Arabidopsis thaliana: one gene and its partner. Each later gene encodes a partner of the first gene's protein in a complex. Each region holds a gene or a part of one and is shown on either strand. Other genes may lie near its edges.

The links. The genes of interacting proteins can lie anywhere in the genome.
Region 2: TAF15 (region 1) and TAF4B share a complex: the UniProt entries of both Arabidopsis thaliana proteins name them as parts of the TFIID complex.

The regions. Positions count from the first base shown.
Region 1 is NC_003070.9:18,627,116-18,638,915, reverse strand, and holds TAF15 (TBP-associated factor 15), read left to right. Parts: upstream 1-6,876; 5' UTR 6,877-7,037; intron 7,038-7,215; 5' UTR 7,216-7,253; coding exon 7,254-7,358; exon of another isoform or gene 7,359-7,374; intron 7,375-7,468; coding exon 7,469-7,797; intron 7,798-7,913; coding exon 7,914-8,111; intron 8,112-8,706; coding exon 8,707-8,790; intron 8,791-9,166; coding exon 9,167-9,248; intron 9,249-9,361; coding exon 9,362-9,485; intron 9,486-9,901; coding exon 9,902-10,098; 3' UTR 10,099-10,361; downstream 10,362-11,800. Other genes in the region: THX (thioredoxin X), read left to right, coding at 104-310; STP9 (sugar transporter 9), read right to left, coding at 806-1,267, 1,388-2,017, 2,360-2,682, 2,794-2,932; AT1G50290 (uncharacterized protein), read left to right, coding at 10,654-11,058. UniProt on the Arabidopsis thaliana protein: TAFs are components of the transcription factor IID (TFIID) complex that is essential for mediating regulation of RNA polymerase transcription.
Region 2 is NC_003070.9:9,645,559-9,649,158, reverse strand, and holds the start of TAF4B (TBP-associated factor 4B), read left to right. Parts: upstream 1-1,782; coding exon 1,783-1,824; intron 1,825-1,834; exon of another isoform or gene 1,835-1,943; coding exon 1,944-2,010; exon of another isoform or gene 2,011-2,280; coding exon 2,281-2,513; intron 2,514-2,603; coding exon 2,604-2,705; intron 2,706-2,957; coding exon 2,958-3,018; intron 3,019-3,148; coding exon 3,149-3,600. Other genes in the region: STZ (salt tolerance zinc finger), read left to right, coding at 174-857. UniProt on the Arabidopsis thaliana protein: TAFs are components of the transcription factor IID (TFIID) complex that is essential for mediating regulation of RNA polymerase transcription.

The sequences.
Region 1 (11,800 bases):
AGAGTTGAGCTTCCTTTTGCAAGTGCTTAGAGAATAAATTCAGTTCTGAGTGTTTTTAGTTGTCTTGGTTATTTAAACTCAAAATGTTTCCTTTGTTTCTCAGGAATATGGTGACAAATTGACGATTGTAAAGATTGATCACGACGCTAATCCAAAGTTAATAGCGGAGTTCAAGGTTTATGGTTTACCGCATTTCATTCTCTTCAAGGACGGGAAGGAAGTTCCAGGGAGCAGAAGGGAAGGTGCTATTACAAAGGCCAAGCTTAAGGAGTACATTGATGGTCTCTTGAACTCAATATCTGTTGCTTAATCGTCTCTCTCCCCACCGGTATTCTTCTGTCTCAACACTGTTTTTTTAATGTAATCAAATCTCTTCAATTGTGATGATCTTCATCCCCGGTTTCTCATTTGATGTGTATATCTTGCAACAAATTTTACGAATAGAAAAGAGTTGTTCTCTTATCAGGGAAATATGTATTTAGGCTTATTTGCTTATGCTTGCAACAAATCTAGTTAGGTTTTTGCATTTCTTACAGATAATCTCATTTGTTGGTAAAAAGAAAAGAAAATCAAATGCAACTGGATGCCAAGAAACAAATTCTGCTTGGATTTTATTGGAATGAATCAGGTTAAAGAATTCAACATTTAAGATTTTTTCAACAACTTCCATTCTTCTTCTTCTTTTCGTCTCGGCTGCAGATTCTCACATCTTGCTGCCTTATTTTCCCTTGAAAAAGCAACCAAAAACCCGTGCTTAAGCAAAACCAATGCCTAGAACTTTGAAACATTTCACTTTCTTGGCTCTTCAAACCTCCTTGACGTAGTTTTCTTCACCTCCTCCAATAACAGCATCATCTGGCATGTAACGTTTCCAGAACGGATGTTGCTTCCATACTCTTCCCATTTCTTCAATTGGAACCCCTTTTGTCTCCGGCAACAAGAAGTAGATGAAGACGGTCATGACTGCAACCATTCCTCCAAAGAAGTAGAAGAGACCAAACTTCATGTGGCAAAGCATCGTGAGGAAAAACTGTCCAATGAGGAAAGTGAAGAACATGTTGACAGAGACGTTGATGGCTTGTCCCGCTGGTCTGATTTCCAATGGACAGATCTCACTTGGTACTAACCATCCTAATGGACCCCATGACCATGCAAATCCTGCAACATACAAACATATGAAAGCCAGGATCCAATCTGCTGTTGCAGGTGTTAAGGTCCCTGATCCCGTGGTTCCAAACTTCATACCAATCAAGGTACCAACAACGATCTGCAAAATGACCCATCAAACAATATATGTAAGGTACGCAATCATCATTTATATACATTATGAACTGAAAACGTTTCATTTTTCCACATGTATACGCAAACTCGGAACTAGCATTTTTACCTGGGAAACAATCATTTGGATGCCTCCTTCAAGGAAGAGAATCCTTCTTCCGTACCTGTCAACCGCATAGATGGAGACAAGGGTAGAGACAACATTGACCGCACCCGTAATAACCGCTGAGATGAGCGAGGCATCATCCGCAAAACCGAGAGTCTTAAAGAGAACGGGGGCGTAGAACATGATAACATTGATACCAGTAATCTGTTGGAAGAAAGGAATCGCAGAACAGAAAACAAGAGCGGGTCTGTATTTTGCCTGTTGGAAAATGTTCTTCCATGGATTATCCACTTTCTTAGCAGCCTCACAAGCATCACACAGATCTTGAAACTCCTCATCTACGTTATCAGCTCCACGAATCTTTTGCAACATCTCTCTCGCTTGTTCGTACTTGCCTCTCTCGAGCATCGAGTTTGGTGTATCGGGCAAGACAAAAGATCCAATAACCATAATAACTGCCGGTACAGCGGCTAAACCCAATGATACTCTCCATCCGTTCTTAGCCATTTGAGATGTTCCGTAGTTGATTAAGTTTGCAATCAAAATCCCGATGGTTATAGCCATTTGAAACCCGATGTTAAGTGCTCCTCGGATCTTCGCTGGAGCCATCTCCGAGAGATAAACAGGCGTAGACTGGAAAAACAAAGTTAAAGATGGATGAGCCATACTGAAACCAAATATACCTTACTTTATTTCATACTAAGCGCTAACAATATTTTTATAGCTAACAAATCAAATATCGTGCAACCAAACAGCAACGAATAAACCAAAATAAACCGCAACTAAATTTTGATAGTATTAATTATTTATTTGTATTTTAAAACTGAACCTTAGATGTAAGTTGATTCTAGTTTGGAAATTGGAACCACTCTGAAAAATTGAGAAATTTTTGAACCAAACCGAGTCCAGAACCAGAATGTCTTGAGCTAAACCACATAATAAACACACCATGACCATGTTGAGTTGTTGACTCACCTGATTGGCAAATCCAACACCGACTCCGAGCAACAATCTACCAACGATGAGCATTGCGACATTGGTAGCAAATGCGTTGAATAGAGAACCTATGAGGAAAGCAACCCCTCCAACAAACATGGAGATTTTGCGTCCGTACTTCCTTGTGACAGCCGAAGCTACAAAGGAAGACGCGAGTGCCGCGAGGTAGAGTGAGGAAGTGAACAACTGTAGCAATTGGTTATCGAATTTGCAGTAAGCAGTCTCGCGCCTTGCTTCGTGCATTTGCTTATCCACCTCCGGGAAAAACTTGCTCAGAAACTCCTCCATAGATGTCACTCCACCTATACAACAAAAGAAGTCACGTTACATTCCCCGAAGCTAGAGTGGACAGCGAAAGCGAACCAAAATAACTCAACCCGAAGAAGAAAAAGGCGAATGTGGAATTTACGAACCTGAGATACCGAGGTCATAACCAAAGAGGAGACCTCCCATAGCGGCCACAATACATGTCATGATGACAAAGACGGTGACTCCGCCTTCATAGCTGTTTCCTCCACCACCACCTTCTGATACAAAGGCTCCTCCAGCCATTATTATTTATTCTTCACTTATTGATTGTTAGTATTATTGCCTTTTGCTTTGTTATTCAAACAAGAACTAGTGAGCTTATGATCCAAAACTGAAGAGCTTGTGAGCTCCTTAAATATAAGAATTTTCGTTATCTATTATTAGGAATCGATTGTGATATTAGCTGTTTTAGATTTATCTTAGCTTATGAATAGGTGAAGTGGTTTTGGTATTTTTTTCATGTTCTTCAAACCCAGTTTTAGTGGAGATCTTACTGTCTTTTTTTGACAGTTTCTTTTGTTTTTTTACTGACAACTTCCGCTCATTTCTCTGTAATTTTTATTACATAAAGACTCTAAGAGATATGTTGAAAAAGACAGTCTAACCCTAAAATAGGATCTTGTATTAATATAATAACAGTCGCATTTAGCTGTGAACTAATTGTGATTTCGTTCAGTACGTATATATAATATAGTCTATTTGGAGACATTTCATTTCTAGTTTAGTTTGGTTCATATATTTAGGATTGATTATTAGATACACGTCATTGTAGATCGTTGTTCCAGCTAATTTGAGAGAGAACGTTACAAAGATAATTGAAAATGAAGAAAAAAACAAAGTAAATATATCTACGTAGACAAAAATGTTCATTGTCATTATGAACACACCGTACGTTCTCTAATAGAATAGGTTTTAAGATATTTCTCATCTTTGTAACTCTGTAATATATATATGCAAATTGAAAAAGAAACAACAACAACAACAACGTTCCCATTTTTGAATCATGTCATTATGTCAATCTCGGTGTAATTAACAATGAGCTGGACGAAGAACACATAGCAAAACCTCCGAGAATGAAGATTGGATCAGTTCAACATCCTAAGCCTTGGTCATCAAATATATATCAGGCTCATGGACGACAGAAGTCCGAGTTTGTAACATGAGAAAAGATATTACAAATTAAGTTTATCACTACGTACGTACTTGATAAGTCTAAATGAAAAGTGATGGAACAAGAAATCTTTAGAATAAACATGTCAAGTGATCATGACATGATGCAACAGCCATGAACAATTATCAGCCACCCTTTCATTACGTAATTAACCATCACATTAAATCTCATGAAGACTTTCTTTATCTCGGCTGTCTCCTGATTAACCGAACCACGACTTCTTCTTCTCAAGAGCTCAAGTGGCTTTTTTGCTTATATTCACAAAATGAATTGATGGCTATTAAGCAAGAGTGAATGAGGATCAAACAGTGCACATTCAAACTTTGGGTCCAAAATCTTTAACGACCATATTCATCATTTAGCTAATTTTGTCTATAAATTGATTATAGCATTTAAAATCAAAATTTCTTTTATTTCCAAGACAAACAGTCATACATATATATGCCAGTTAGCTGTTGTTTTCACCTTTGAATCTTAGAATTTATTTTTTCACCAACGTTGGACATGCTCTTTATAAGAGTTTGGAGGGCTTTTAGTTATGGGGCAACTAAACCTTGCACGGAATTTTCCTTAATTAGTTCATGTTTAAATGTATCATAGTTAACTATGTCATGGTTAATCCACAAAAAAAAAAACATATTGTGTATGTCCAACTACTCATCCATCCTTTTAGGTTCATCCTTGAGAACCTTGCCATATATCTACTTCTTTTTGGGAAGTACGCTCGGTAGTGGAATGGATAGTTGCTTTTTTTTTTTTTTTAAATGGATAGTTGCTTCATCCTCAACTTTAGCCACAAAATCTAAAACTTGGATGGCAGTTTAATATTTTTGATCTGTTAAATCTCGGAGGCGCCAAACTTTTCGTTTGGGTGAAGAGATCCTTTGATAACTCCCAATACACATAATGATCTGATACCAAATTTGTTTTTATTAGTGTCATCTTATATAACATTTTTTATTTATGATAAGATGTGAATATATTACCAAAACGTAGTAAGAATTTTATTTTAATGAGATTTACTAATATAAAGTTTTTTTTGGGTTTTATTTAAATGGGTTAGGAGTGCAATTGAATCATTTTTTCAACTATTTCAACTTAAATAGTAAAAAATTGATTGAATGTTTATTCAACTCTTTTAATTTCTTCAATTACGTCAACCATTTGCACTGGTTTGTCAATTACAGCAATAAGATTTTTCTCTGAAAACTCATTACAAGAAAACTTGTTCTATTCTTTAGTGAGTTTTTAATCTACTAATTATATATATGAAAGTTAGCCAACTCTCTCCATATGATTGACACATCATCACTTTAACATTTGCCATGTATCCACTGAATAATTAATGTAAGCTCTTCAACTTTTAATTTATAGATTAATGATGTATTTATTATTTAATTTTACATATTTAATTGTACTAATACTAAATTTATTTTGTTATTAAATGTTTTTCAATAAAATAATTTGATTGATTTTCTCATACTCAAAAGATTTTTTTCTGTAATCTTAACTCAAATTATGAGTGTATAGTAGTCATGGATTAATTAATAGTTTGAATAGTTTGCATATTGTTATATATCTATATAATAAATCGCCGAGGGTGAAGAGTATGTAAGAAGTTTAATCATCAAATTCTTAGGTTTCGAGAATCCCAATATTACCTTCTATTTAATTAGTTTAAGACGAACATTGTTTAGGAATTGTGTGTATAATGCATTGTTGAGAATGTTGTTAGAAAAAATATATTTTAATATTAAGAATAATTACTTATTATATAAGTAAATGATTAGATAATTAAAAATTATATTTAAATTAAACGATACAAAAAATTTAAAAATACCGCAGCGTAGCGCGGGTGATTACCTAGTCATAGTAAAATTAGTAGTGACAGATTTTAAAAAATGACAAGCTTATGCTAGTAACTTTACAAAATAGATAGCATTATATAAATATTTTACTGTAGTATGAGTCAATACTTTTTTAATTATTAATTTAGTCAATATATGTTAGATGCAAATGTATTTTTTTTTATTGACCAATACTTTGGTAGTATAATATTAGTAGTATTAGATATTATTGGCTATAAATAGATTCAACATTGAAACACAAATCATATATATGAAAGAAGACTAACTCTCTCCCACAACTTGACACATAAGCACATGAGAGCTTGCCACCTAGACTTCATAAAATAAGTAATACATAATTAGTAATTAATTCAACATAACAACTAAAATAGGAGAATATAATTAATGAGAACTTGAACCATCACTCTTTCTACATTTTTAATTCAATATATCCTCTTTAATTTTGAGATCCACTTAAGTGGCTAAAGTGATGATAAAATCCAAACATGTTACACATATTCCTGGCCTAAAAATTAGACGATTATTATGAAAGAAACTAAATGAATATGCAGATTAAATATATCTAAGCTTTTCGATATTTATGCTAAGAAAACAGGTAATTTGAAAGATATTTGAGGAGCTATCCTTATAACTAATACGTAAGATATAAGATTATGACAAGAACTTAACTAAACTTTCTAAGAATATCGAGTTGAATATGCTTAGATTGAATATGCAAAGACATGATTAATAAAGACATGTTATATTTTTAGTGTAAGAAATAATTTTTCTAAAATTTCACTGTCTCACAATCTATACATATAACTAAAAAAGCAAGGATATATAAATTCAAAAAAAAACTAAGAATCTAAAACAACAATAAAAAACAACTCAAGCACATTCGTTTTTCAGATGAACTAATATAGTTGGACTTTTCAAAAACAATTACAAAACATATTTATGTTTCAAAACCTATGCATTCAACTTTACTTTATATAAACAGACATTATATAAAACAATTAGTAAATAGTAATACGTAAACCCGCACGTAGTGCGGGTACTCATCTAATTTGTAAATTAATAATTCCTCAATTTGCACCCAAAAAAAGAATTCCTTAACCACGAAAAAAATAAAAAAACAAAATTACAATTTAAGGGGGAAAGTTATATGAAATTGCAAATATAACCACCAAACAAACAATCGACTATCGAGGTTACCCTTAAGAAAATCTTTATTCGCAAGATCTCTCTCTCTCTCTCTCACTCGACGCACTTTAGAAAGAAACCCTAGTCCGACGACCTCTCCTTCGCCGCTGAATCCTCATCGCTGGTCAGATTTCTATCTATCTCGCTCTTCTATGTTTCCCTATCTCGTTGGTCAGATTTCGAATCTTCTTTTTGTTCTCATGGTTTTTGAGCTCAAAACTTTGGGGTTTCAATGTCTCGATGTTATTTCTTAGCGAGGTTTCAATGTTGGCTAAGTGAAGTTTTGGTATTGTCATTTACAGATTCTTGGCGGCTTTCTTTTTGATGAAATTGGATTACGATGGCTGGATATCCTACTAATGGATCAGTCTACGTTTCAAATCTCCCCTTAGGAACTGACGAGAATATGTTGGCTGACTATTTTGGGACCATTGGGTTGCTTAAGGTATGGTATTGGCCAGGTACTAATTGTTGCTTTTGTTTTGACGTCATTGCAATCTTTTATAGGTCACTAGATTTTCGAGTTTCTTACATTTTTTTCTACATTGCTTTTAGAGAGACAAACGAACTGGTACTCCTAAGGTATGGCTGTACCGGGATAAAGAAACTGATGAGCCCAAGGGAGATGCTACTGTTACCTATGAGGATCCGCATGCTGCTTTGGCTGCTGTTGAATGGTTCAATAACAAAGATTTTCATGGAAACACCATTGGAGTTTTTATGGCCGAGTCGAAGAATAAAAATGCTGGTGATGCAGTTGAGTTTGTTGAATTCGATGGAGGTGCTGAGGAAACAAATGGAGGTGCTGGAAGGGGGAGGGGTCAGGCTGATTCTTCGGCAAAGCCATGGCAGCAAGATGGTGACTGGATGTGCCCTAATACAAGGTCTGTGATGTGATATCGGTGAGGAGCTTCATCTAGCTCTTGTTTCCGTTAATTTGCTAGTTTTTATATATTTTATAGTTTCTAGCAGTAGTGTTCTCATACTCTTTCATTGGCAGTTGTACAAATGTGAATTTTGCATTCCGTGGGGTTTGTAACCGCTGTGGAACTGCTAGACCAGCTGGTGCATCTGGTGGCAGCATGGGTGCTGGTCGTGGAAGGGGTCGAGGTGGAGGCGCTGATGGTGGGGCCCCGGGGAAGCAGCCCAGTGGTGCTCCTACTGGTCTCTTTGGTCCAAATGATTGGGCTTGTCCAATGTAAGCATTCCGATTAGGTTTGAAATAGTTAGTTCAGTTTCAGAGGATAATGAGCGTTTGGTACTTGATTAAAACACATCGCAAGAAACAATTTATATTCAGTAGCAAAAGAGAACATTCAGATGGCATATAGCGTTGCTGGATATAAAATTAATTTGTCTTATGTATGGAAGGAATATAGCTTGTATATCAATGCTTTTGATGATGTCAGTTGACTCTTTACTTAGAAAGAAGTGATGGCCCGCTCTGCTGTGCTGTGTCTCTTAAACTGGTCCAAATTATGTGTGGAGGCACATATTTTTTCCTTCTTTTTTGAATGTTGATTCTAATTTCGTAATTTTCCTTCAGATGGCTGTTAATCTGAAAAATGTAATTTGAAACGTGGGTAGGTTGTAGTCTTGATCCTTCTAAGAAGTTATATTTGTGAAGATAGGCTGCCTTCAATTTTCTGTGTCTGATACAAAAAATGGACTATGTTTTAGTTTAATTGCAAGTTATGCTATGTGTCATCGAGTAGCTTAACTAAGAGGCTGCACTGTGTGAATGTGAGTTCTTATGCATAATGCACTTTTTCTTTTTGCGCTAATTCTTTCAGGTGTGGCAATGTCAACTGGGCGAAACGTCTAAAATGTAATATCTGCAACACCAATAAACCTGGTCAGAATGAAGGTGGTGTGAGGTATGACTCAAAGCCAGTGATAAGATTGCCTTTGTATTGTTATCTTGCAATGTTCGAGCTGAGGATTTGGATTATAAATGATTTTACAGTGAATGTAGGAGAGGTCGTAGATTTTCTGTTCGATGTTTGTAGTTTTGTTGTCAGCAGGGTATATTTATTCTGCTTTTAGACAGGGCCTAATAGATACCTGGGAAAAAGTCTCAATACTCTCTTCTGCAATTTGAACGAGTGCTTGTTTTCTTCGACAATTGATTTATCCCACTTGTAATGTTTTATTTTGGCCAAATTAGAGTTGCATTAAGAAACATTAAGGTTTGAGTTTGGAAGGTTGTTTTTATCTAGACCAGTGCTTATTCATTTTTTTTTCTCTAAATAGGGGAGGCCGTGGTGGTGGTTACAAGGAATTAGATGAACAAGAATTAGAGGAAACGAAGAGACGCAGGCGTGAGGCTGAAGAAGTAAGATATGCTTTTCCTGAAGAGTTCTTTGTTTTTTGTTTTTTTGTTGCAATTCGGATGAGCTCTCAGTTTTTTGTATATTCCATTTGACTTATACGTCTAATATATTTCAGGATGATGGTGAAATGTATGATGAGTTTGGGAATCTAAAGAAGAAGTACCGTGTTAAAACAAACCAAGCTGACACCAGACCTGCTGTTGCTGCTGGTCGTGCTGGGTGGGAAGTCGAGGAACTAGGTAAGTTCTGTTTAATTTTAACTAATATGAACTAAATCTATGCAATCATCAAATAGGTTGAGCTTATGAACAGAACCTTTCCACTATAATAGAGATTTATTTGGCTCGATCTATATCTACTCTCTGTGTATAGTCTTCAAAGAAAGTTTCTGCTTGTCATCTAGACACTTGAGTGAAACTTAACATATATGCGGGGAGGGATTTGTTTGAAATTTTACATTAAGCTTGCAGCTAACTTGCCTATAGCCCAAGCCTAGTGGGGATCTCCAATAAACAGTGTTGTTCCTTGTTAGAGTTTTCTTCTTTTCACTGAATAGATATAGAGGAAGATAGAAAAGAATGTTTATTGCTGCTTCCCCAAAAATAGAAAGGTCATGATCCAATGTAGTTGTTCATAATTTATATGAATGTGGCAGGTATTGATAAAGATGGAAGAGAGAGAAGCAGAGACAGGCAAAGAGACCGTGGTAGAGATCATCACTACGATAAGGATAGACGCAGAAGCAGAAGCCGAGAGAGGGAAAGAGGCAAGGAGCGTGACTATGACTATGACCATGATCGGGACAGAGACAGAGACTACGGTCGCGAACGTGGAAGCAGGTACCGTAACTGAGAGATTACTCATAAGTGTTAGGGTTTAGTTTCTCATCTGTTTTGTCGACTTACTTTTACAACGGTATCATTACAATGTCTTCGCCTTTTGTTTACTTATTGTGTGAAGTGAAACTCATTTTGGTTTGAATCAATGGCTATTGTTTTTCACTTGTTTTGGTCTGATTATGTTCTGAGAATACTCCATGTTTATCGTTTCGAAAATTGGTAATTATGGCAAAACATGGTTAGCGACGTCAATTGCTAATTTAGACGTGTATTAAGTATTATTTTGTCTTTTGTAGTATTATTTTTAGTTGTCCCTTTGTTTTTTTTTCCATCGCCAATCATTTCATCGCTGTATGATTTTAATGGGAATAAAAAAAATAGAACAAGAAGATTTTTGTGGACAATATAGTTTCTGAAACTATAATAGGATAAGAAAAAATTAAGCTTATTTGTGGGGATATATATTAATGTCATATCATTGTCATAAACATGGTCGGCAAAACTTGGGACGGCAGTTTACCAGAATAATCCGGTCGACAGAATTCAACAGTTCCTCTCTCTAAAAGATATGAAGGAGATTAATTTTGGCTTTGTTAGCAAAGATGGCCGGTCCTCTTCTGGCAAATCCGGCTTTTACAAGCGGTTTTGGCCGGCTTTTATCCTTCCTCCGCCGTTCGATCGGTTGTTCTTACCGATTGCTTTAGTTTCTTTTTCAGTTTTTCTTTCAATAATTTCTAAAGATTTCAATTGGAGATTAATTTTAGGTCATAATAGCCTAAGATTAAGTTTTCGGATTTGTATCTTTAGAAAGTTTGATTTGCAGAATTACCTCAAGTATGAAAGGAAGTTTTGTTTCCAGCATATTGGGATTGCCTGTAGCCGTTTCTACATGTTTATGGAGCTTCGATCGATCAAATTTGAGGAATACTCAGATTTTTCTTTCCTCATTACCTGTTTTTGCCAAATCTCTTGATTGATGATTTTGGAATTGAATTCTCTGTTTGTGTATCCTCCCTTCTCTGTTTAGCAGTTTCCGGTGAGAAAAAAACAAAAATCGATGTTTGCCCTTTTTCGACGTTGATTGTGTTCACCGGATCGGAGTCTTTGACGGCACAGGATGACAGGAACGTTTCATCGCTTCTCTTGCAACACGTGTCTTGTTATACGATCGTGTTTTGTTAAAGAGATATCCTTCCTTTAAAGAAATGTAACTAAGTGGACCTTTGTTGGGCTGTATTCTGTGGATCATTAATAAACATAATCTTTCCAGTGAAAAAAAAAAAAAAAAACATGGTCGGATATGGGAAATACGATGAAAAAAGCTCGTCATGGACTCGCACTTAAAACAGGAAAATCTTTTTCGTCTAGACCCCACTTATTCACATGCACTACGACATAATTCCAAATTCTTTTAAAAAAAAAGAAGAAGTTAATAGAAAGAGTGACCAAAGTACAGTATATGATGATATTTATAACATACAGTTAAACTTCTATAAATTAATAGTCGATAAATTAATAACCTTTATAAATTAATAAATTTTTCCAATCCCGAATTTGTACCAGTGTAAAAAGTGACACAAATCGATAAATTAATAAGATAATAACTTTTTTGAAAGTTCTATGTAAATATATGGTCCCATCAATATCATAAATTAATAATTGTATAAATATATCAATTATATATATACATTATATGTAGGAATTTTTCTGAAATA
Region 2 (3,600 bases), 9.0 Mb from region 1:
CTTTCCTACCACTTGTCACGCAACTTCCTTCTCCACACTCCACCTACTACTATATATTTACACACACTTTCATTACTTCTTCTTCAGCAATTAAACAATTTCTTCACTGCAATTCACAAGCAACCTTCAAACTAAAACTCGAGAGACAAGAAATCCTCAGAATCTTTAACTTAATGGCGCTCGAGGCTCTTACATCACCAAGATTAGCTTCTCCGATTCCTCCTTTGTTCGAAGATTCTTCAGTCTTCCATGGAGTCGAGCACTGGACAAAGGGTAAGCGATCTAAGAGATCAAGATCCGATTTCCACCACCAAAACCTCACTGAGGAAGAGTATCTAGCTTTTTGCCTCATGCTTCTCGCTCGCGACAACCGTCAGCCTCCTCCTCCTCCGGCGGTGGAGAAGTTGAGCTACAAGTGTAGCGTCTGCGACAAGACGTTCTCTTCTTACCAAGCTCTCGGTGGTCACAAGGCAAGCCACCGTAAGAACTTATCACAGACTCTCTCCGGCGGAGGAGATGATCATTCAACCTCGTCGGCGACAACCACATCCGCCGTGACTACTGGAAGTGGGAAATCACACGTTTGCACCATCTGTAACAAGTCTTTTCCTTCCGGTCAAGCTCTCGGCGGACACAAGCGGTGCCACTACGAAGGAAACAACAACATCAACACTAGTAGCGTGTCCAACTCCGAAGGTGCGGGGTCCACTAGCCACGTTAGCAGTAGCCACCGTGGGTTTGACCTCAACATCCCTCCGATCCCTGAATTCTCGATGGTCAACGGAGACGACGAAGTCATGAGCCCTATGCCGGCGAAGAAGCCTCGGTTTGACTTTCCGGTCAAACTTCAACTTTAAGGAAATTTACTTAGACGATAAGATTTCGTTTGTATACTGTTGAGAGTTGTGTAGGAATTTGTTGACTGTACATACCAAATTGGACTTTGACTGATTCCAATTCTTCTTGTTCTTTCATTTTAAAAATTATTAAACCGATTCTTTACCACATATTTTACAAACGCGTTGAGTCTTTTTTTTATCTGAATAAGCATAAAGTGACACCACTACAACTCTGTTTTTGGTTCTGTTTTTTTCAAAAAATTTATAACACAATTAAGCATAATCAAGAACGTTCTAGTTTCTACTACCATCCACATATTGTTCTTTCTTATATTTTGGAAAGCTCTAAGCAAATAAAAAGAGTTGTGATATCTTACGGAAGACTGCCAAAGAAAACTCAACTTTCATTTTTCTTTTACCAAAAGAATACCGTAACTTTCAATTGAAAAAAGCCTTTCTTGACGGGTCGTTTGTTTTCTTTAGTAGCACTGTTTAATTAACGTAGATAATCCCTTCTTTAATTTGGTGAATTATCTACGGGAAGTCCAAAACTCAATGGTCATAAACGTGTATCAAAATTCATCTAAAAGTTAATTAATTTTTTTTTGCAAAAGTCTGATGCTAATATGAATAACTGTTTAAGAACTCCAACATTATATTCAAGAAAAATAAATTTTGATATACAAGAACAAGCCCAGTTACCGAAAAGAAGAACAGAACGGCGCGCAGTGTTTTATCCAAAAGAAACAACTACCGAAAAGAAGATCAACAGAACGGCGCGCAGTGTTTTATCAAAAAGAAAAAACGACACGGTGTTCTCGCAGAATCTCCCTTTATATAAAAACTTGCGGAATTTGGAATCTTATTGGATACAACAAATCGTTTCCTTGAAAATTCCCTCTTCGTTTTGAGCTATTGACGTTTGGTACCGCGAGATTCCTCCATGGATCTCTCCATTGTCAAGCTCCTCGAAGAAGACGAAGAGGTTAGGTTTCGAATTTCCCACTCTCATTTTCATTTCCGTACTGTCTGCGAAAATCCACGCGCTATCTTGTTCTGTGGACGAAGCTCCTAAATGTCGATTCCCGCTAATCGTGTCGTTAGGTTGACTCTAAGCATTCGGAAGATGACTTGCAAATGTTTCAGGACTCTCTGATTCGAGATATTGAAGGTTCGTTTTGGACCCTAAAATTCATATGCGAAACTGTGGAATGTATCAAAACAGGGAAATGCCTTTAGATTTCTTTAGTGATTTAGGTTCACGAGTCGTATTTTTGTGGTTTGTCATGTATCTTCATGTTTCACTTGATGTTAACTGTTGAATGTTGATGGATGCAATTAGATTGTTAGTTCTTGATGATGCTTTAGTGACGGTTAGTCATAGAAAAATATTAGAGCATACTCATAATTGATTTTGGTGCTTGAACTCATGTGCCCCAAGGAAGTAACTTGAAGTCTATAAACAATACTACTGGTAATGAATCAGAAAAACCGCAACCTCGGTATATGAAACTGCAGAAGATGAGTAGCAAAGAGACTCCTTGGGTGGAAAAGACTGTTGACCCTGTGAATCATAATCTTAGATTAGCACGAGTTACTGATTTGCTTCGTACCGTGGTAGACCACCAACCCGGCAAAAAGACGCATTGTCTTAACCTGCATTATAAACTCAAGGTGTGGCTTTACAGTTTACATCCATGAATGAATTGGCACTCTGATCGAAGTTTCTTAATACATTACGTTTCTTTTCATACTTGATTGCAGAGAAAAGAACTTACAATGGAAGAGTTCATGCGACAACTGAGAGATCTTGTAGGTGATCAGATAATCAGATCGGTAATTAGCCAACTGCCTCAGTTAAAACCGGTATTACCCTTTCCATTTTCTTAGCATTTATAAGTACTTTAATGATTTTCATTTAGCAGCCTCCAAGAGAGTTTCTTGTTTTATATGCTTCCTTCTCTGTATATGAACATGTGCTGAGAAAGAAATCTCACTTCTGAACCTTATTAAAAAGGAAATAACATAAAGAATTCTCACTTTAATAGTATAAGCTGAATACTTCTTGTCTTGGAATTGTGGCTTACTGGTTTCAGAATGAACTGTATGTGTAACCAGGGAAATATGGGGATCAAAGTACCTGGACGCTCAAACCATGACAAAGTGTCTAAATCTGCTGGTATAACTTATTTAGTTGATGCCATTTACTTTTGCAATTATCATAGATCATCTTAACTTTCTGGTAGATCTTATCTTATGATTTCCTTGTAGCATACAAAACTAATCCCAGATACAATCATTAACTGCAGAATTCACTGCTCAAGAATCTGATCCTCGTGAAGTTCATGTTAACCAACTGTCTTCTACAACTTCAGGCACCTTAAACAGTTCAACTACTGTGCAGGGATTAAATAAGCATCCCGAGCAACACATGCAGCTTCCATCAAGTTCTTTTCATATGGATACCAAATCTGGAAGTCTTAATCCATACCCAGGGACAAATGTCACTTCTCCTGGTTCATCATCGAGAGCAAAGCTCCCTGATTTCCAGCATAGGGAAAACAATCAGAATGTGGGAATAGCCAGTGTTGGAGGACCAACCAAGTCTACAATAAACATGACGACAGTACCCAAGTTTGAGAGGCCAACTTTTGTAAATGGTCCAAGTAGGGTTCAGGATGGTCCTATATCCGACTTCCCAAAGAACTCATCCTTTCCTCTATATTCTGCTCCTTGGCAAGGATCAGTCACCAAGGACCAT